Linked DNA regions of Danio rerio. The protein of the gene in region 4 interacts with the protein of the main gene of each other region in a pairwise test. Links are inferred from orthologs where the notes say so. Each region holds a gene or a part of one and is shown on either strand. Other genes may lie near its edges. The genes, in order: zdhhc22, nrm, vti1b and trim59.

The links.
Region 1: the proteins of trim59 (region 4) and zdhhc22 interact in binary tests that used the Homo sapiens proteins (3 or more experiments, as listed by UniProt). The link is inferred for Danio rerio from reciprocal best matches to the Homo sapiens genes TRIM59 and ZDHHC22.
Region 2: the proteins of trim59 (region 4) and nrm interact in binary tests that used the Homo sapiens proteins (3 or more experiments, as listed by UniProt). The two-hybrid records come from large-scale screens. The link is inferred for Danio rerio from reciprocal best matches to the Homo sapiens genes TRIM59 and NRM.
Region 3: the proteins of trim59 (region 4) and vti1b interact in binary tests that used the Homo sapiens proteins (3 or more experiments, as listed by UniProt). The two-hybrid records come from large-scale screens. The link is inferred for Danio rerio from reciprocal best matches to the Homo sapiens genes TRIM59 and VTI1B.

The regions. Positions count from the first base shown.
Region 1 is NC_133192.1:49,753,728-49,758,839, forward strand, and holds the end of zdhhc22 (palmitoyltransferase ZDHHC22), read right to left. Parts: intron 4,980-5,112; 5' UTR 4,978-4,979; coding exon 4,422-4,977; intron 3,062-4,421; coding exon 2,775-3,061; 3' UTR 1,367-2,774; downstream 1-1,366. UniProt on the Homo sapiens protein: Palmitoyltransferase that could catalyze the addition of palmitate onto various protein substrates and be involved in a variety of cellular processes. Catalyzes the palmitoylation of KCNMA1, regulating localization of KCNMA1 to the plasma membrane.
Region 2 is NC_133194.1:976,201-982,242, forward strand, and holds nrm (nurim), read left to right. Parts: upstream 1-1,908; coding exon 1,909-2,059; intron 2,060-2,780; exon of another isoform or gene 2,781-2,853; intron 2,854-2,903; coding exon 2,904-3,097; intron 3,098-4,259; coding exon 4,260-4,436; intron 4,437-4,648; coding exon 4,649-4,954; downstream 4,955-6,042.
Region 3 is NC_133188.1:36,483,245-36,488,855, reverse strand, and holds part of vti1b (vesicle transport through interaction with t-SNAREs homolog 1B), read left to right. Parts: intron 1-1,272; coding exon 1,273-1,464; exon of another isoform or gene 1,465-3,293; intron 3,294-3,371; exon of another isoform or gene 3,372-4,410; intron 4,411-5,611. UniProt on the Homo sapiens protein: V-SNARE that mediates vesicle transport pathways through interactions with t-SNAREs on the target membrane. These interactions are proposed to mediate aspects of the specificity of vesicle trafficking and to promote fusion of the lipid bilayers.
Region 4 is NC_133190.1:1,612,389-1,617,903, forward strand, and holds the end of trim59 (tripartite motif-containing protein 59), read right to left. Parts: intron 5,017-5,515; coding exon 4,390-5,016; 3' UTR 1,739-4,389; downstream 1-1,738. UniProt on the Homo sapiens protein: E3 ubiquitin ligase involved in different processes such as development and immune response. Serves as a negative regulator for innate immune signaling pathways by suppressing RLR-induced activation of IRF3/7 and NF-kappa-B via interaction with adapter ECSIT.

The DNA.
Region 1 (5,112 bases), on a different chromosome or scaffold from region 4:
TACACACTATACCCCATTATGACAGTTGTTGCAAATTTATTAAAAATAAAAAACCTGAAAACTCACATGTACATAAGTATCCACAGCCTTTGCTCAACACTTTGTTGATGCACCTTTGGGAGCAATTACAGCCTCAAGTCATTTTAAATATGATGCCACAAGCTTGGCACACCTGTCTTTGGGAATTTCTGCCCATTCCTCTTTGCATGATTAGTGGAAACAAGCTCTATCAGGTTGGATGGCCACTCCATTAATATTTTGGCGGTGTGCTTTGGGTCATTGTCCTGCTGGAAGATGAACCATCCCTCCAGTCTGAGGTAAAGAGCACTCTGAAGCAGGTTTTCATTCAGGATGCCTCTGTACATTGCTGCATTCATCTTTCCTTCTATCCTGAATAGTCTACCAGTTCCTGCTGCTGAAAAACATCCCCACAGCATGATGTTGTCACCACCATGCTTCACTGTACGGATGGTATTAGCCTGGTGATGAGCGGTGGGTGGTTTTCTCCAAACGTACCGCCTGGGATTCACTCCAAAGAGTTCAATTTTAGTCTCATCAGCCCAGAGAATTTTGTTTCTTATAGTCTAAGAGTCCTTTTGATGCCTTTTGGCAAATTCCAGGCGGTAGAGGCTTCCGTCTGGCCACTCTACCATACAGCCCTGATTGGTGGATTGCTGCACAGATGGTTGTCCTTCTGTAAGTTTCTCCTCTCCACAGAAGAACGCTGGAGCTCTGACAGAGTGACCATTGGGTTATTGATCACCTCCCTGACTAAGGCCCTTCGCCCCGATCACTCAGCTTAGATGGCCGGCCAGCTCTAGAAAGAGTCCAGGTGGTTCCAAACATCTTCCACTTATGAATGATGGAGGTCACAGTGCTCATTGGAACTTTCAGAGCAGCAGAAACTTTTCTGTAACCTTCCCCAGCCTTGTGCCTTAAGACAATCCTGTCTAGGAGGTCTACAGACAATTCCTTTGTCTTCATGCTTGGTTTGTGCTTTGACATGCACGGTCAACCCTGGGACCTTATATAGACAGATGTATGCCTTTTCAAATCATGTCCAATCAACTTAATTTACCACAGGTGAACTCCAATTAAGCTGCTGAAACATCTCAAGATTGATCATTGGAAGCAGAATGTACCTGAGCTCAATTTAGAGCTTCACAACAAAGGCTGTGAATACTGATGTACATGTGATTTTTCAGGTTTTTTGTTTTTTATTTTAATAAATTTGCAACAATTTCAAAAACATTTTTCACATTGTCATTATGGGGTATTGTGTGTAGAATTGTGAGGAAATAATTTACTCTATTTTGGAATAAGGCTGCAACATAAAAAAATGTGGAAAAACTCAAGCGCTATGAATACTTTCCGGATGCACTGTATCTGCCATTTGATTGATAGGAAATAATCATTTAATAAAATATAGTAACATAATCTACTAACAATCTAGTACCTAACTGTAGAATTGCATCTAGCCAAGTATGCATTGTTACACTTTAAATTAATCTTACCCGTTACAAAATGTCACACATAAAGGACATTGGTCTGTGTGTGAGCTATTCAGAAATACCTATTCAAAATGACCTATTATACCAATGTTTTATTCTGGTTCGGTAACTAATTTTGCTCATTTAAACTGAATTTGACTTGAGGTAGCAAACAGGACGCAGACATGAGAATGTTAGATAGAAAAGACATTCAAATGTATTGATGTTCACACACAGTAAGTGATATTTAAATAGAACTGCAACTCTTGTCATACAATACAGTACTGTTTATGCTCAACAAGGCTTCAATAAGAAGAATTTATGTAGCAGTAATGCGATCTGAAATTGATTTTAAATGTTTCTATGTTGTGCTTGATATATTTGTGGAACCTTTGTGTTCTTTCAGCAATATAAAGTTCTGAAGAACATCATTTGTCTCAAATAGTAATATTTTGTAGCTGTATTACACATCCCAGTCCAGTAAAGTGGCTATGCCTCTTTATAAAGAGGCTCTATTAGATTGTGTTTTTACTTTTAAAAGCTGCTATTGTATAAAAAAAAATCAAAATTGCCAAAACGCAAAAAACGTCTTAAAATTTTAGTCAATAATAGTTGTGTAAACCTTCCTTGTATAACTGACCCAATCTTTTAAAGAAGGGTTTACTTTCTTGCTGGCTTGACAAGATTCAAAAGAAATAAAAGCAATAGTAGAAGGTTATACTATGTATATAGTCATATAGTATAGTTATATAGTCATAAGTTTGACTTTTTAAGTGTATATAATTTGCATCAAAATCAAATATGTGGATGAAAACCGGCATAATTTTCCACAAAGTATTTAAAATTCACATATAATTAATTAAATACCAATTTATATTGTAATTCAAGTTCTTGTAGCATATAATCAAATTCAAATCAAGTTTAAACAAATCTAACAGTCACCCACATTTTAGCAGGCCACTGTTGATGTGTTCTGATTACCTAATATGTATGTTTTGTAAATACTGTTTAAACTCATCCATGCTTTAATCCTGACCTCCTCTATCATTGCTGCTTCTAATCACTGCTGCCCTAAACTAGGGCTGAAATTGGGTTTCAGCACAGTGCTGATTGACATAGATATGGATGTTATCACATCTTGGTGATATAACGCTCACCTAATTTACTCTGTGATGACAGAAATCCACTAAAAAGGCAGATCTGTTGGATGGGCTTAAGCTGCTCAAATGAACTGAAGCCCTTATATGGTCCAAATTAAGGTAAACAGAGTGATTTGGCAAGTTTTCAGTCGTGTTTGTGATCATGGTAGACCTGCCAGTTTCCAGGTACAGTCTCGACAGTCGGAACCGGCACGAAAAGTCCCAGAACCCAATGGGAACCAAAAACGTCAGTCAGGTTTGCTCGCCAGGTACCACGACACTCCGACAACTGGCCTTTCTGCAGTTCACACCAGGTCTGTCCTCGGGCCACTAGCAGAAGCTGTTGACAGCAGAAACCAACACTCACTAATCCAATACCCAGCCAGATGTACAGCATTATCACCAGAAAGAACTGGAGACCTGAAATCAAACCTGAAGAGAGAAAACGAGTATTATCATATCCATTGATAAACAAAGCAAAGCACATTTCAGGAAAATCCAACACCATGTCATGGCAATCCCAAACTTTTTGATTTAGTGGCTAATTCATATACTCATTTGTACATTTTAGTACAATTTGCTCATCCTCAATTAGGGGTAGGGTTAGGAGTGGGATTGGCAGACATGGCTCCTTTTAAAAAGTGTAATTATGTTGGCACCAACAGCCTAGTGGCAAAGTACGCTGACATATAGCACTGTGGTGCTGGCGGTGACCTGAGATTGATTCCCGGCTCAAGGTCCTTTGCTGATCCTTTCCCCTCACTCTGCTCTCCTTGTATTCAGTGTTGCCAAATATCGCTGACTTTTTCAGCCCAAAAGCTGTCCAAAACCCACCAAAACGCACAAAAAATATTATATTAATATCTTATTTAATTCTCATGAATTTAAATCGAAATGAAGCTAATTACTTTAACTGTCATGATTTTTAACCACACAGCAAACAACATCAGCTGCCACAACATAACCAGGTCTCATCAGGTCTCATGTTTGCGCTATGCACTGGTTACACCTAACTGAATGGAGCAGGAGGACACAGTTATGGTTTATTATATAAGTCGCATATAAAAGTTACGTTTCAAAACTGCCCAAATTTTGTCAACCCGCCAATGCCATTTTTTACCTGCACAGTCAAAATCAAAACTGCTCAATTGGCAACACTGTATTCCTGTCTCAACTCCCCTCTCCCTTATAATAAAGGTGAAAAATGGGCATTTTTAAATTTTTTTTTGCGTTTTAATATGAATATAAAACCATATGAATTCATACAAATTAGCCACTTTTCTGAAAATATGTAAGTTAAGAGTTTCTTTGTGAGATAAGGCACAAAAAATGGAAGCATGGCTTAATTACTTGGAGGCTGCGACCTTTTTTTTAATTGTGTTTCAGTTTCTAGAGAAATCGAATATTAATTGAGAAAACAGTAGGCGTGGCTTGTTTTTTAAACTGTGAGCTGATTGGATGTAGTAAAATGGCCATTTCATTCAGAGAGATCGGGAAAAAGGTTTCGGGAGTTATTAACAACCCAACAGACAGCTCCTCCTCGCCATTTCTGTTTGTTGTCGAAACTTACAGTTGAAGGGGCGTGGTTAAGTATATTAGCCACACCCAATACCTCAGACAGACGTAATCTGAAAATTGCACTAAAAACAAACAGGAAGTGCATTTTCAGATTTCAATTTTCACTTTTTTGCTCTTGATGACATGCATAAATAAATTGTTCACCACAAAACTAGCAATGTGAACTAAAAAAACCATATGGTTAGTTTTGATGCCATGTGTACTTTAAACTTACCAAGGAAGAAGTAACCAGTTGAGAGTGGCAGAAGAGTGAGGAACGTCAATGGGTTCTCGAAGGAAATAGAGTACTCTATTGTCAGATATGCCACCCCTATTACCAATGAATATAGACAAGAGCTGGACGTATAGATGCTGAACATAATAAAGTAGCGCATGTTCCTGTTCCCAATACAGTTTCCAGTGAAAAAGCAGTGGTGGTCCCGTTTTAGAATCACCTTTTTGCACACTTTACAGAAGTGGCGTCCATTCAGGAGGTAGTGCGCATCAATTCTGTCCGGGCAGTCGGGTGAACAGACTGGGATAACGGTCTCGTTGGCACTCTCGGATGGGTTCCGTATAGTCATGATGTAATTACCCAGCGCATTCCCCATGAGGAATAGAAAGATACTGATGTGAGCCAGCATTGCGGGATTTATAGTCACATCTGAGCTTTGGAAAATAGTGGGCGTGAAAAGGAGGAAGTGGAGAGCGAATGTGACCACGGTTGCAGCGTAGAAGTATGCAGGAGCAATCGTGTTGAGTAGTTTGAGTTTCCCCATCTTGAACAACATGCCTGTGTTCAATTAAAAAAAGACAATAAAGGTCTTTATTATTCAGAACATCAATCCAATGATTGTTGATCAGTATCAACAATTTGTGCCAATGACTATGGTACACTTTAAAGTAGAGCTGCACCATATTGGAAA
Region 2 (6,042 bases), on a different chromosome or scaffold from region 4:
AGTGTGACAAAACTTCATTAAACATTATTTGTAGTGCATAATTCAGTGGCTGAAGATTAAAATGTTACATTTACTTATTTACCTGTAGAGACAATTAATGTCTTAAGACTTGACAGGCTCTATTTGTATATTGAATATATATATATATATATATATATATATATATATATATATATATATATATATATATATATATATATATATATATATATATATATATATACACACATACAGGATATATGGGAAGAAAAACATTTGAAATATTGTAAAAAAAAAAACTTTTCTTTGCTCTGTCAAACATCACCTGAAAATAACTACAATATATGAGCTATATATATATTTTTTTATCTAAGAACTGCATTATGTCCAATTAAATATTCATGTAAAATTTAGCTTTTGATTAATAATTGATTGCTTATTAAATATTTTTTCAAATTTGGAAATGAAATAATCTGTATGCAAACTCTGTAATGCACTGTTTTTGTGTGGTTGTAATAAAGCTTTACTCACTGTTGCACTTTATCTAATTTAAAAAGTAAGCTGTTTTATGCATTCTATAGTTTCTTTTATCACTTGGCTGTTCAAGTCCAGGGTTTTGAATTGACTCCCTTAGTAGTGTATGGTGCTCCTGAAATAAAATGTTATGTTGCTGATGTTCTGTTTCTAATGTTTGTAAAGCAAACAAAATCTCAGTATCTTGTAATACTGAACAAATACAGATCAATTCAACAGCCAACCAGAGTAAAACTGGTAGAGGTAATACTCTCATATTGGATTAATTTTGGGAATGGAAAAACTTGAAAAATACTTACGAATAATACTGAAGTTACTTTATTTTTTCACCCAAGCTGGCCTGCTCATATACTCTTTACTTTAGTAATATTATCAGCTTTTACCTGAGTAAAATAATCAGTAATTTTTCCAGCTGTGATCAAACCATATGCATATGTATGTATATTTTGCAATATCAGCCTTTGGAAGAGTTTTCTCGTGTCAAATTCTTGCCACAACCACATTTGTCTCCTTAATATTGAATTTCCTGTATTCTTTGTAAATCTGCTTCAGCATTTGTAATAAAAATGTTAAGAATAAAAATTGTCATAAACATTTTCTTGTTTTCTTGACAGGGTTTTTGTTTTTAATCGGATCTCAGTGTAAGGCACTAGCTGCAACTTGTGCAAACAAAAATCTTGCTGGATTATAACAATTATGGTAAAAAATTGTGTTCGGAAAGGATATTTCTTACCAATTACAGCAATAATAACCAACCTGAATTAAAACCAAAAACGTACCGGCTTAAAGTACAGCATTTGTCATCATCCCTTTAATCTACCTAATCTGTGCTAAAGTGCAGATAAAATAAGTTAGAGCTATGCAAGCGTAACTACAGGAAACATCTAACTTTGTAGTCTTCTGATTGCAATCTGCACATCGCGTGTACCACAGACACTGGGAATTCACAAAGATTAAATCATCATTATATAACTATGTATGTATCTACACTGTAAAAAAGTGATTAGTTCCTATACTTTAAAAAAGTGAGTACACCCGTTGTCAGAATTCAGCCCTTAAACATTGTTTACAGAAAGCAATGGTAAAATGTGACAGTCATACTGTATTTAGTTTAAATCCAGCCTTTAACAATCTTTACCAACAAGCCACTAACTGTTGCATAATTTTTGCACAGTGTTTGCAGAAACCATCTCCTATTTACTTGTGGAAGGGAGAAGGGGAGACATGCCACTCTGAAGTGTGATCATGAGGCCAGTGAGATTTCCAATATCCGTTACATTAGACAGTGTTTAAATTGGAAACCGTGCAACACTCCACCATGCGGTAACCACGCGTCACTGCAGCCGCCCCTTCCGGAAGTATCGTTGCTGTCGGTTTGAAAATATAAATATTGTCATGGCGTCGGTAACTTTTCGCGACGGGTTTCTCTGCGTTTCTGCTTTAATTACCTTCGTGTTCGTATTTGTTACCGGCGCAGATTTTGTCCGTTTTGTGTCGTTTCGTGCCATCAATCATAACCTGAGCGGAGCCGCGCCTCTGTGTCGAGGTGAGATCCAGAAAACAGCCAAACTGACATACAAGTTACTGACAGAGTTTACAGAGAAACTAGACATGCTGTAAATAAACGCATGCACACTTACATTATTATTATTATTAATAGAGAGATTTTCATTCAGAATGGTCTTAAATGTGTGTTACAATAACATATTTTGAGTAGTTTAACTGTTTAGTTTGTTCGTACATTAGATTACAGCAAAGTTCTATAGTCTTTGGATTAGTTGGATCGAATTTTTAAAAACAAATAAGATTAATTACAGGCATATTTACAGCTTACTGAGTTTGATCTTTAATATGCAGTTATTAAACTTTTATTTTGTTACTTTGCATATAAACGTTAACATGTCGTATGAAGTCTTGATAAAATAACGTAATAAACTTGATCTAACGACTAAAGTTAAATTAATTGTAGATATAATAAACTTAATTATTATTTAGTAGTTTTAATTTGCAGTAAATTAGTTTGTGAAACGTTCCTGTCAATCGTGTTTAATATAACTTTAATGTAAAAGCGTCGTAAGAAGTTACGCTAATGTTAGCTTACAGTTTGAACTGACTAATAACAGTAAACAGATTAATTATAGATTTGAATAATTACTTTTTGAGTATTATTTAGTGTTTTAGCAATATAAAGCATTTATACGTTGATAACTTGAAATTTGTTTCTCTATCCCTCAAATGACCACTTATTCCTTGTGTGTGTACGAAGCGCCCGGCTAGCTCAGTCGGTAGAGCATGAGACTCTTAATCTCAGGGTCGTGGGTTCGAGCCCCACGTTGGGCGCAAAGTTTTTCATAGTGTTTTCTGTGTGTATCTGTATTATTTTCTTCCAGACTCTGTGCCCTGGTCTGTGGCTCTGCGGGATGGGGTGGTTCAGAAGGCAGTGGCTGTGGATGTTCTCCTTCTGGTCGTCTTCAGCCTCCAGCACAGTCTGCTGGCCTGGACTCCAGTGAAGAGAGTCTGTCAGAGTGTGTTTGGGGTTTTGAGCAGATCTGTGTATTGTTTCACCACCGCCGCTGCACTGCAGGTAATTCTGCATATGCATTATTTAAACATTTATAAGTAATTATTTGAGAGATGCTTTAATATAGAAGTAAATGTAAAGTGGTATGTAAGAATATTTTTTAAGGCAATGCTTTGCCTTTTACAGTTGTTATGTAGATATTTTATTGAATTAAAATTATATTAAATTATAAATGAGTAATTATATAACATTTGTGGAGTTATAATTTCAGAAATGAACTAGAAAAATGTACATACAATAAAAGCGAAGTTTCTTCTTAAACACCTGAATTAATACTGTGAACAGAATAATAAAAATATGTCTAAAATAATTTTATATAAAATTAATTATTTATTATTTATTTAATTTTATTCACTGTAGTATGTCACTTGGATGTGTTATTAATTTACAAATTATATTTATTTATGCTAGTTTCTCTAATTTCAAATTATTTCTTCTAAAATTATTTAGAGATTATTTATAAAACTATATTTAAAAGAATTCCAACCTTTTTTTAATTGCACAATTGTAGTATTACTTACCTTTTATTAAATTAAAAGCATGCATTGATTTTAAATAATAGATTACATGTGATTTAAAATAATGTATTTTGTTTAATTTATTTACTTGATTAATAAATAAATTTATAATTTAATAATTATAATTAACAAGAAATAGATTTAAACTGTTTTATGCACATTCATTATAGTGATTATTTATTTAAAATAAACATTTAAAACTATTCCAACCATTTTTATTGTTACAATTTTAGTATTGTTTATCTTTTATTAATATAAAAAGCACGCATTTATTTTAAATAATAAATTAAATATTAAAATGTATGTATTTTCTTTCATTTATTAAATTATTCAATTAATTAATAAATTAAAAATGTATTATTTAAAATTTGATCTTTGTTTTATTATAAAATGTAATTAAATCCAAAATCATAACATTAAGATAAAATTTAATCTTACATTTTTTTTTCTTCTTTTTTACATTTATAACTTTTTCATAAATCTCCAACAAGACTTTGCAGCCCCAAATCAAAACAAATCTGACACTGTGATCCCTAATTAGCCCTTATAATCAAATACCTCTGCTACCACTCATCATTTAAACTCACATATCCTGCATGTAAATTAGTCAGTGCTATATTCTGCTCATACTGTAATCTTGTGTTCAGATATTAATGCACTATTGGCGCCCGGTCACCAGCGCCCCCTGCCTGTGGTCAGTGAGCAGTGCACCATGGGAAATCTGGTTCCCGCTCATCTGTTTTATAGTACACTTCTTGTGCTGGGCTATAATCTGCAGCATCCTGCTCATCTTTGACTATCCAGAGCTACTGGGCATCAAACAGGTACACATGCACTGACAATCCAGACATTTACAAGCACAAAACACTCCAGTTAAAGCGTCTAATTTCATTTATATTTATTTATCAGGTTTGGACAGACATTTATTTATTATATTTATCTTTATCATGGTTTGTGTAAATGGGCCTTAAGACTAACATACTGATACTAACATCTATAAAACACCTTTAAAAGTGTGTGTGTGTGTGTTTCTCAGGTGTATTATGAGTGTTTGGGTCTGGGTGACCCTCTGCTGCTGAAGTCTGAGCGTGCGCAGCGTCTGTACTCTCACCTCCGTCATCCAGTGTGTGTGGAGCTGCTGACGGTGCTGTGGCTCCTGCCCTCCTTCCCGCTGGACCGACTCCTGCTGGCCGTGTTCCTGACCGTGTATCTGATCCTGGCGCACTCGCTGGACAAGCAGGACTGCGCTTACCTTCGGCACCAGCTGCGCAACAAACTGCAGCTCTTCTCCACACCACTAGAGGGCAGCGAGCAGACAAATGACAACAATAAACTAGAGTGAACGCTGGGTTTATAGGAGTCAGTAATGCTTTTACGTCAGTATGTAAGTCATACGGTGTCTGCAATTGCATACTTCTCTACTATGGTCAGTGAAAAACAATATCGCTGCATCCAAATTTGCTAACTATCCATCCTAAATAGTAATCGAAAATAGAGTTAGTGTGTCCCAAATCATATTATGTTTAAATGCATATTGAAAAGTTACCTGGATGCTCTACTATTTCTGGTAGATATTGAAAGTGCATATCCATGCTAACGTTAACTGTTAATATTGCCGTTAATTCGATACCGTTTTCCAAAGTTGGCTGGTTTACTTTTTCTAGTAGAAATTCGAAGTGCGAATCTCTGCTAATGCTAATGGCTAATATTTCCGTTGCACGGACCCACACTTCAAATAAAAAAACATTTATTTTATATTATGATAAAACTTCGAAGTGCAGATACGTGCTAACGCTAATGGCTAATATTGATGTTAATACATTTATTTTATACCGTTAATTTGATTCGATCTACAAATGTAGGTAAAACCGTTTTTTAAACTACAAACATGGCGGTCATGCAGAATCGAAAGTCTTACAGTGTGTTTAAAATCTCAATTTTATCTACTATAGTATGTGAAAAACAATATCGCTGTGTCCAAATTTGCATAATATCTTTGCTAAATATTATTTGAAAATAGAATAAGTCCAAAATCATAGTATGTTGAAATTAGTTTTCCCAAAACTACACGAATGCTCTACTATTTCCAGTAGAAATTCAAAGTGCATATCTGTGCTAACGCTAATGGCTAATATTGCCGTTGATTTGATACCGTAAATTTAATTAGAACTACAAATGTAGGTAAAAACTGTTATCAAACTACAAACATGGCGGATAAGCAAGATCAAAAGTCATACAGTGCTTCGAAAATCTACTAATATAATCTACAAATATTTCTCTACTATAGTATGTGAAAAACAATATCGCTGTTTCCAAATTTGCATACTATCCATCCTAAATAGTATTCAAAAATAGAATTAGCGTGTCCTAAATCATATTATGTAGAAATGAGTTTTCCAAAGACCCCTGGTTGCTCTACTATTTCTGGTA
Region 3 (5,611 bases), on a different chromosome or scaffold from region 4:
TGTAGTAGGCCTAGCTGTACTGTGTTATATAATGTATAGCATTAGCTTTACTTAAATTATTAACGCTAAAATAAAACTTTTATACAACAAGAATGTTTTAAATTGATCAAAATTATCTGTAATAACAGATATAGTGCTGCAAAGGATAAAAAACATTCTGTGTATATATATATATATATATATATATATATATATATATATATATATATATATATATATATATATATATATAAATGTTTGTATGTATGTATATATAATAAATAATCTGAGCAAATCAGCATGTTAATGTGTTTTCTGAATAAATGAGTAAGTTGACACAATATAAATGTTTGTTCTTTGCATTTCACACATCCATAAATGTTACAAGGGATTTTTTGTTTAAAATAAAGTTTTTTTTTCTGTTTATATAAATATGTTTTTATGTTATGTTAATCTGCTCAAATCACATATTGGAATGATTTGTAAATTCTGTCTGATAATTTCACATGGCATCGTGAAGAAATCATGTAGTAAATGCAGTTTGAGCAGAACATAAGTAAATTATGTTTTAAAATATTAGAAAATAGAAAACAATAATTTTAACCCTCCTGTTGACTCATGGGTCAAAATGACCCGGGCACCCAGACACCGTTTTAACAGCAAAAAAGAAATAAACAATTTCTTTATCTTAAAGTTTGATTGCTTCTAAAATTTCCCCAACATTTGAAAAAATTCATCATTTTCATATTGTTATAAAGGCTGTACACATTTAGGGTACAACAGTTGTCTTTTGGGTAAATTTTATATAGATGGCCAACTATAATGCCAAAACATTTTAATTCTAAAACATTTTACACTTATGCAGGTACTTTAGATATAGAAAATATGCCCTTTACTTTAGCCAAGAATGAGTTGTCCTGATTAAACATTGATAAATGTTTACAGAGTTTGTGATGAAGATGAGATTGTTTCTTAATGCACAACAGATATGAGGATTAAAATTATTTTCACAGCTTTATTTTAAAGGTTATACAACAGTGCACGCCGGTGTATACAAAGTTCTAAGACAACAGCAGAGGAAAAAGTTTAAGCATATTTCACAGTATTACTTTTTTTAGAGGATTGTTGATTAAATGAATGCAGCCTTGATGAGCATATGACAATTCTTTAAAAAATATTTTGAGAAGTCGCCAAACTTTTGCATGATATTATGTGTAAAAACACAGGAACAGAAACAGTGACTGTCTGCCGCCTTCTCTGAGTTTATCATTAAACATGTAAAACCTCTCTCAGCTTCAGGGTATGGAGCAGGAGCTGTTTGGTGCTCCATCATCCTTCCGAACCCCCATGTCAACAAAGATTCGACTGTACCGACGAGATCTAGCCAAACTGCAGAGAGATATTCGGCTATCAGCAACACCAGGGCTTACAGGTCAGCTCGGGGACAGCAGACTTGGTGTTTATGCCTCACAGAATGACCAGAGTGTAAGTATATCTCATCACTCTCTTAAAAGAGGCCGTTCAGGTTTTTCTCACTCTCATGTGTTTTGAACTGGTCCAATAGTTATATTTATGTTTTCTGTGAAACCATGTTTCATGGAAAGAGAAAGGTCACTGAGGTTATGCAGATTAAGACAGAATTTCTGCTTTCTTTGATGAATTACCCCAGACATCAGCTGAGATCATGGTTGAAATGTGTGTTATTGAGAACAGAGAACTATTCATTTTATGATAAAAATCAGTGTTACTGATGATAAATTTATTAAACCATCCTTATTTAGGTTTAGACAGGAATGTGTTGTTGTGTTTAGAAAGGTATTGTTAAATGAAAGCTTTACTCCTCATTGATGATGTGCACATCACTTGAACAGTAATTATGGAGAATTTCTACATCTTTCCAGCTGGATCTAGATTTTCTTCAGGCTAGAACTGGCTAGAACCGCTCCACTGTACCCCTCATGTGTATTCCTACAGGAAGTTCCATAACAATGAGTATGTTTTGAGTACTACAGATCTCTATCTCTTCTGTGTACTGTTTAATGACACACCTTGCTGGCATTCCAGAGGTGTTACGTGATTCTCAGTACACCACTCACCTCCGGCTACATGTAGTGCTGATTTGAAAAAGTTCAATGAATTTAACTACTTGTTACCTAAGTTTGTTAATAATATGGCAACAGGACAAACCCCTCAGGGCTTGAAAGCTGAGCGCATATAGTGTGCAGTTCTCAAAACTTGATGCTGATCATTGTTTTTGGTTGCCTGGTTATTCATAAATGATTGACAAAAAAAAGATGAAAAAGAAGCTCAGGGTATTAGGATTTATATGACTTAATCCAAGTGCTGGTCATGTAATTAGATTATCTTCAAAAAGTTGATTTATTTCACTAATTCCATTCAAGAAGCAAAACTTTTATATTACTGCAGCATTACGGCGTGGCATGGAGTTGATAAGTCTGTGGCACTGCTCAAGTGTTATGAGAGCCCAGGTTGCTCTGATAGTGGCCCTCAGATCTTCTGCATAGTTTGGTTTGGCACATTGCATCTTCCTTTTTACAATACCCCATTGGTAGTCCCATATGGTATCTGCGCGTGCAGAATTCAGCAGATTTTTAGCCCGTCATTAAATCTGTTTATTTACTTGAGTAAATCTAAGTTTATTCAGTTTTTAAATTAATTACAGTAATATTGTTGACTAATATGAAAATGTTCATCTGATTTACGTACAGTGCAGTTTGTAATGTAATATTTTCTATCTTTTAGTAGATATATTATATGAAAGACTTACCTTGTTTACCAAATAAAGTGAATCTGATTGGATTTGCATTTTAAAAATTAAATAAAAGTTAAAAAGGTATTATTATAATCACATATTAAGGTTTTAGTCATTATACTCCCAAAATAATCCAGCAGAAATCCGCAGATTTTTTACCAAAATTCTCTGCAGAAATAGCAAAAAAATGTCTGCAGATTCTGTCTGGCCCTACCTATTGGTTTTCTATGGGATTAAGGTAGGGTGAGTTTGCTGTCCAATTAAGAACAGGTGCTTAAAGCAGTGCTGGTTGCTTTGGCACTGTGTGCAGGTGCCAAGTCCTGTTGGAAAATCACTCAGCAGCAGTCCAGACTTTAGCTCAGACGAGACACTTCTGATGCTGTCTGTTGCTCAAAAGAAACAAGGAATGTGACAGCTGACACCCATGTCTTGCACACGTCTGTGCGTAGTGGTTCTTGAAGCACTGACTCCAGCTGCAGTCCACTCTTTGTGAATCTCCTCCACATTTTTGAATGAGTTTTGTTACTCAACTCTCCAGGATGTAGTTATCCCTAATGCTTGTAATCTTCTACCACATCTTTTTTTCCCTTTACCTCTCTGGTAATGTGCCTGGACCCAGAGCTCTGTGAACAGCCAGCCTCTTATGCAATGACCTTTTGTGCCTTGTGCAAGGTGATAGTGGTCATTTTTTGGCAAACTGTGTAATCAGCCGTCTTCCACATGATTGTGTAGCCTACAAAACTAAACGGAGAGACCATTTAAAGGTCTTTGCAGGTGTTTTGAGTTAATTAGCTGATTAGAATGTGGCACCAGGTGTCTTCAATACTGAACCTTTTCACCATATTCAAATTTTCTGAGATACTGAATTTAGGGTTTTCATAAGTTGTCATTAAATTAAAAGAATTGCTTGAAATATATCAGTCTGTGTGGAATGAATGTATACAATATACAACTTTTACTTCTTGAGTGGAATTACTGAAATCAACTTTTTGAAGATATTCTGAATGTAGACCAGCACCTGTATAACATGAAGGGTAAGAGTGTGCTTTGTATGAGATCAGGTAGTGAGCTGCTGTGCATGTTGCTGTTTTTACCACAACACAACTTGGAAAATAAAATCTAGACAGACAGATAGATAAATGGATGGATGGTCAGACGGATGTGCAGATGAATGGGCAGACAGACAGACAGGCAGAGATAAAGACAAAGTGATCACTTTGCAAGGCTTTTGGTTGTGCTTTTCAATTGAAGAATACCAAAAGAAGTGAATTAAGGCTTTTCTGCTGTTCATCATTCCCAAAAGAAGTTTGAATGTTCAAAAAGATGTTTGAAATCAATACTAAGAAAATACAGGGAGAAGAAACGCTAGATGTTAAACTGTACACTTACTGATTCGTCAAGTATCTCTTTAAGACTATGCTTGTATCCATCGCCATCTTTAAGCTCTTCCTCTAGCCGTTGTCTACTGAAAGCCTCAAAGACATCAGGGATGAAGTGGAAAGTGCAAAGGCACTAAGTTTTATTTGTGCAAAGGTATTGTCCTGTTCTTTTCTCATCTTTCGCAGTGAAGACCTAAATAATTCTCTCGCTGCTCTTTTTGTGAAAATTAAAAGCTGCACAATGTGGCATTGTACCAGTACCTTTTTCAGCTGTGTTGCAAAAAAATAAAAAAATAAATAAAAATCAACCATTACGCACTCAGAGGTCCCCCTAGGCCAAAATTAATGTTTTTTTTTTTTCAAATAGCAAATCTTTCATGGGTTTTCAACTGCATATTTCAGTAACAGACATTATTTTCAATAAATTGATCCATGCAGTTTTGCACACAAATTTAAAAAATCTGTCTTCCTTTACTCACCCTTTACTTGCTCCAGACCTGTTTGATTTCTGCTTCTTATTTTCTTCTGTTAAATCAATGGTTACGTGTTTTAGCTTGCTTCTAAATAACTTCTTTAGTGTTCAACAGAATAAACAAACTCATAAAGTTTTGGAACCACTTCAGGGGGAGTAAATAAAGAGTTTTTTATTTTGGGGTGAATTATCACTTTAATACCTGGGGTTGTTTTCAAGTAGTTAGACAGTTTTTATTTTATGAGCTACCTGTAATCATAAACAGATCCTTCCAGTTTTTCAACGCATATGTACCCACACCCACACACATGTATGTAAACTGGTATGTGATGAAAGTTTAATTCCCTGCATCTATACAAACACAGATGCCTGTTACACTGCAGTGGAGTGATTTATTTTTCTGTTGCGGATGCAGAAGTTGGCCTTAAGCAAGGTCATGCTGTGTGTCCCAAGAGACCTGTTTCTGATCTCAATGAAACTGAGGAAGTGAGGTCAGCAATTGTTTCTTTCGAGAGGTCATCACAGTTTTTGTTTTTTTTTTAAATTACAATCAAAATGGTAAAAGTGGGCAATAGTTACCTTTCACTCAGCATGTGCTTATGCTATCTATCTATCTATCTATCTATCTATCTATCTATCTATCTATCTATCTATCTATCTATCTATCTATCTATCTGTCTGTCTGTCTGTCTGTCTGTCTGTCTGTCTGTCTGTCTGTCTGTCTGTCTGTCTGTCTGTCTGTCTGTCTGTCTGTCTGTCTGTCTGTCTGTCTGTCTGTCTGTCTGTCTGTCTGTCTGTCTGTCTGTCTGCCTGCCTGCCTGCCTGCCTGCCTGTCTGCATGCCAGCCAGCCTGCCAGCCTGCCTGTCTGTCTGTCTGTCTGTCTGTCTGCGTCTATCTGCCCATCCATCTATCCATCCATCTGTCTATCCATCCATCCATCCATCCAAACAATCAACCACCCACCCACCCACCCACCTACCTCCCTCCCTCTCTCCCTACCTACCTAC
Region 4 (5,515 bases):
CCTGTGAGCCTTTTACATGTCTCCCGTTACTCTGCTTTTTAATTTTAATTTTTAATAAAATGATTTTTATTCGACAGAATTATAGGTGTAGCCTATCGACTGTTCTCGTGTTTTAACTGCACTGCAGCTGGATATTTTAAATGAACAATTAAATTAGGTGTTTTTACATTTCAGACCTCAAATCCACGGTAATAAACCACAATAAGCACTTGTTTTTGGTTTTGCTGCTGGAAGAACGCCACACTGGCTGCTGATATTTATTCATCTGAGACTTGGAAATGTATTACAAAAAAAAAACACAATTCCTGGCTTTGAAGACTTGTGTAATAAGCAGTTTATTTTCATTTCAAATAGTGAAAGTGCTTCATATTTGTAGAAGCTCAAAAGGAGCAAGTGGGGAAAAAATAGAAAGTACAATAAGTTGATAAAATATTAGGGAGTCCTGGGAGAGACCTGAGATGAGATCCTCCACCCCAGGGCTCCCTCCAGTTTGCAGGTCGAGAGGGGAGTTTGAGCTCAGGTAGATCTCCAGAACTCCCCTGCTTCTATATCTATGTTGTCGATTTATTTTGGTCAATACACATATGTTTCACGTCTTTGGACTGTGAGAGGAAACTGGGGGAAAACCCACGTGAGAACATGCAAACTTCACACAGAAATGTCCACTGGCCTGGTAAGGGCTTGAAGCTGGGACGTTTAAGCTGTAAGGCGACAGTGCTGGCCACCTTATCTAACAAAAATAGGAGGAGTAGAGTGGAAGAGGGGATTTTTCAAGATGACATAACTGAAATGAGAATAACTTGCATCTGGTTGTTTATGTTGAGTTAGGAATCCTCTGATTGCAGAATCATGTGTTGCCTAATGCAGGACCAGTCATGGACAATCAAGAGCATGTGATCCTCTTATTCATTCATTTTCTTTTCAGCTTAGTCCCTTTAATCTGGGGTCACCACAGCAGAATGAACCGCCTACTTATCCAGCATACGTTTGAACATATATGCGAATGCCCTTCCAGCTGCAACCCATCACTGGGAAACATCTGTACATACTCATTCACACACAAACAAACACACACTATGGACAATTTAGCATACCCATTTCCCCTATAGCGCATGTCTTTGGACTTGTGGAGGAAACCGGAGCACCCGAAGGAAACCCACGTGAACACTGGAAGAACATGCAAACTAGGCACGGTATAAGACTCTGACGGTGTGATAACCTTGGATAAAAATATCACTGTTTCACAGTATTGTGATTACTGCGCTGAATTATATTCTTTTTAAATGTCTGAGTAAAAAACACAACTTTTTTTATAATATATTTTATTTTGAGAAACATTTTAAATATTTTGAAACGTTAACGTCAGGCTAAATAATGAATCATTGACTTCTGCTTTGTCTTCATTAGTTTCAAACACAGATTTCTTAATCATTTAAACAGAATCTTTAGCGATATTTTCTGCTGGAGATACTGTCGTCCTAAAAAAAGAAAAATCTTACATGTACCTTAGGAACGGTGTAAGAGAAAATTTTGGCAGTTTTAAAACCTTAACTTTTCCACACCGTGGTATACCTTGAAAATGGTTATCATCCCATGCCTAATGCAAACTCCACACAGAAATGCCAACTGACCCAGCCGGAACTCAAAGCACCGACCTTCTCGCTGTGAGGTGATTGTGCTACTAACCGCACCACTGTGCAGCTCATACTTATTTATTAATAAACTTCACAAAGTTGTATTCAAGCCTTTAAAGTCTTGCTAATATAATTCTTTGTGTGCTCGCTTTAAATGTATACCTAGAAAATTGTGTAGTGTTTAACTTATTTCTACACTTGGTCTTAAAATCTTAAGTTGACCATTCTAAAACCTGCAGAACCCTATTAAAATCCATCAGTGTGACCATCTGTGCGAGCACCCAATAATGATGGAAATGAAGCAAGATTAGCATATCAGAGAAGATTGGACACAACCTGAGCTACTCCCGAAGACTTTCACCGTCGTCATGCTCTTATATAACTGTTCTGTAGTCTGTGCACCGATGTAATGCAGTCGCACAAAGAAGCTTTTGTTGAACGATGAAGCACTGCCAGCTATACTGGATCTGGCTGCAAATACAAATCAGTGCTTCATTTCGTAATACTTTCTCTGTAACAGTTTTATAATAAATATATTTTCCAAAATTAGTTTCCTATTCATTTCTATGATTTCCTGTGCAAAAGAACATGGTGAGAGAGCTTTAAGACACATTAATTACAATATTATAAAAAGACGTCATGACATCTTTAAAAACGAGCATTCTGCGGGTTAGATCTGTATCAGTACTTATAGCTGTGGCGAAACATCGCTCCAGAAATCAATTCTGAGATTTTCAAAATTCATCATTATTCTCTCTTAAATTATTAGCAAGCTTAGATATTACCAGCAGATGTTTAAAACTCTAATGGCGTCTGCTGTTGAAAACTAGAGTGCGGCACTCTAAAATAATTTTAAACAGCAGACTGTGATCTAGGCTAGTTTTTAAATACTAGCCTAGATTACAGTCTGCTGTTAAACACTAGCCTAGAGCGGCATCTGCTGTTAAACACTAGCCTAGAGCGGCATCTGCTGTTAAACACTAGCCTAGAGCGGCATCTGCTGTTAAACACTAGCCTAGAGCGCCGTCTGCTGTTAAACGCTAGCCTAGAGCGCCATCTGCTGTCAAACGCTAGCCTAGAGCGCCGTCTGCTGTCAAACACTTGCCTAGAGCGGCATCTGCTGTCAAACGCTAGCCTAGAGCGCCGTCTGCTGTTAAACACTAGCCTAGAGCGCTCACTGCTGTTAAACACTAGCCTAGCGCGCCATCTGCTGTTAAACACTAGCCTAGAGCGCCGTCTGCTGTTAAACACTAGCCTAAAGCGCCATCTGCTGTTAAACACTAGCCTAGAGCGCCCACTGCTGTTAAACACTAGCCTAGAGCGCCGTCTGCTGTTAAACACTAGCCTAGCGCGCCATCTGCTGTTAAACACTAGCCTAGAGCGCCGTCTGCTGTTAAACACTAGCCTAAAGTGCCATCTGCTGTTAAACACTAGCCTAGAGCGCCCACTGCTGTTAAACACTAGCCTAGAGCGCCCACTGCTGTTAAACACTAGCCTAGAGCGCCCACTGCTGTTAAACACTAGCCTAGAGCGCCCACTGCTGTTAAACACTAGCCTAGAGCGCCATCTGCTGTTAAACACAGCCTAGAGCGCCATCTGCTGTTAAATACTAGCCTAGAGCGCCCACTGCTGTTAAACACTAGCCCAGAGCGCCATCTGCTGTTAAACACTAGCCTAGAGCGCCATCTGCTGTTAAACACTAGCCTAGAGCGCCATCTGCTGTTAAACACAGCCTAGAGCGCCATCTGCTGTTAAACACTAGCCTAGAGCGCCCACTGCTGTTAAACACTAGCCTAGAGCGCCATCTGCTGTTAAACACTAGCCTAGAGCGCCATCTGCTGTTAAACACAGCCTAGAGCGCCATCTGCTGTTAAACACTAGCCTAGAGCGCCCACTGCTGTTAAACACTAGCCTAGAGCGCCATCTGCTGTTAAACACTAGCCTAGAGCGCCATCTGCTGTTAAACACTAGCCTAAAGCGCCATCTGCTGTTAAACACTAGCCTAGAGCGCCATCTGCTGTTAAACACTAGCCTAGAGTGCCGACTGTCGCTCAAAACTAAGTTCAGATTTAATTCAAGTGAGATTAAGCTTTGCACTTTAAACATCTCAGAAACAGATTCCTCCACAGCTCTAAATTGTACGACAGCATTAGTAGAAAACTGGTCTTGTTCATATGGCTTGGAAAAAAAGAAAAAAGAAATTTAATGTGGTCACGATGGTCGTCAGGTACCACAGGAGTCTAAACTCAGTACTGGAGGGCCAGGGTCCTCCAACTTTTTCCAATTTAGGGTGGGGCTATCAGTAATTTAGGGTGTGTCTTGTTTGTGCCCTACTTTTGTCTATTCGTCTTCCTTCATTTTGTTAGCAACGCTTCCAACGATCCAACTGATTTTCAAAATGATGAAATCATCCACTGCGCTACATTTTTTTCTCATTTCAAAGCAGTTTCAAGTGCATGTACGTCACAATTAAAGAAGAAAAAAAAACAATCTTAACTTCGGTTTCATGGGCTGCATCTGAAATCGCCTGCTAGAGTATGCACTGCATTTGAATTTACTACACGACCTTTAGAATAGTGCGATTCATTTAGTATGACTTGAAGTAGTATAAATGAAATTGGGACGACCTATCGCATTAGTTGTAGGTCAATCTGTTATTAGTGTACTATATAGTATGCGATTTCAAACACAGCCATTGTGCTTTTGACATCTGCGCAATGACATCTGCATGTGATTCAGACGCAGTCATGGTGCTTTAACACCAGTGTAATTCTTTTAAGAAGCGGAGCAGCCGCTGATGTGTGTGTTCTCCTACAGTAGAGATGAATGCCTGTAATTTACTGCCAGTGTTCTGCAGCACACAACAGAAGAGCGCGCCTAGATCACGCAGTGGCTGACTCAGTCCACTCAGAGCGTTTTCTCCAGCCTGACGGAGAGCAGAAAGCCAGTGTGTTCCTCTATTGAGACAGAACAGCAGCAGCAGCATGATCACACATAAACACACACAGATCCTCCAGCAGCGAGTCTGATCTGAGACCTGTGCTCTGCTGGTTGAGCAGCTCTCTGAGTGCCAGGAGATCTCTGGAAGTGGCCCGTCTCTCAGATCTCTGAGGGTCACATCGGTCCAGTGTTTTTCAATGAATCTCTCGGCTCGTGGGCTCATCTGAAGGCTGGGTACAGTAGGCATCGGTGTGCAGTTCAGAGTGTTTATTCGCTCCCTCAGCTGATGCACCTTCTCCAGGTACTCCAGCGGACTCTCCTGGTCCTCCTCCATGCTGGAGATCAGGATCTGCAGCTGGCTGTGCTCCTCCTGCAGACCTTTCAGCTGCTCCATCAGCGGCTCGTAGGCCTGATTGAGAAGCACATTCGCCCGCTCCAGCGCCTGCATAAACGCGGTCAATAATTGTTATAATGTACTCGTTCTAGTTACTGTAGCTTAGTTTTGTAGTAAGTGCAACTTTTTTTCAGGTTAACGCTACTTAATTTTTTTAGTTCCTACAACTTAATTCTTAAAGCAAACCAATTAAAACATGCAAAACTACAACAATGGAAGTGGAAAACAGATGCCACCTCAGTCTTCGTAAATGAAGTTCTTATAACCTAATTTGAGTTTTTGAATCTGAATTTTCCTCGTTGCCGCCACTTAACTATAAGCTAGTGAAACTCTAATTGTCAAATCTAATTTTTACTAGTTATTTCAAGTTAATCTGACGAGTTGGTGCAACTTAATTTTTTGAATTGTTATAACTTATTTTTTTTTAATTATCATAACTATTTTTTTCTAGTTACTGGCACTACATTTTTAAAGTTAGTGCAACTTATTTTTTAAATTGTCATTTAATTTTCTTCTTACTCAAACTTAATTTTCCTGGATAATGCAA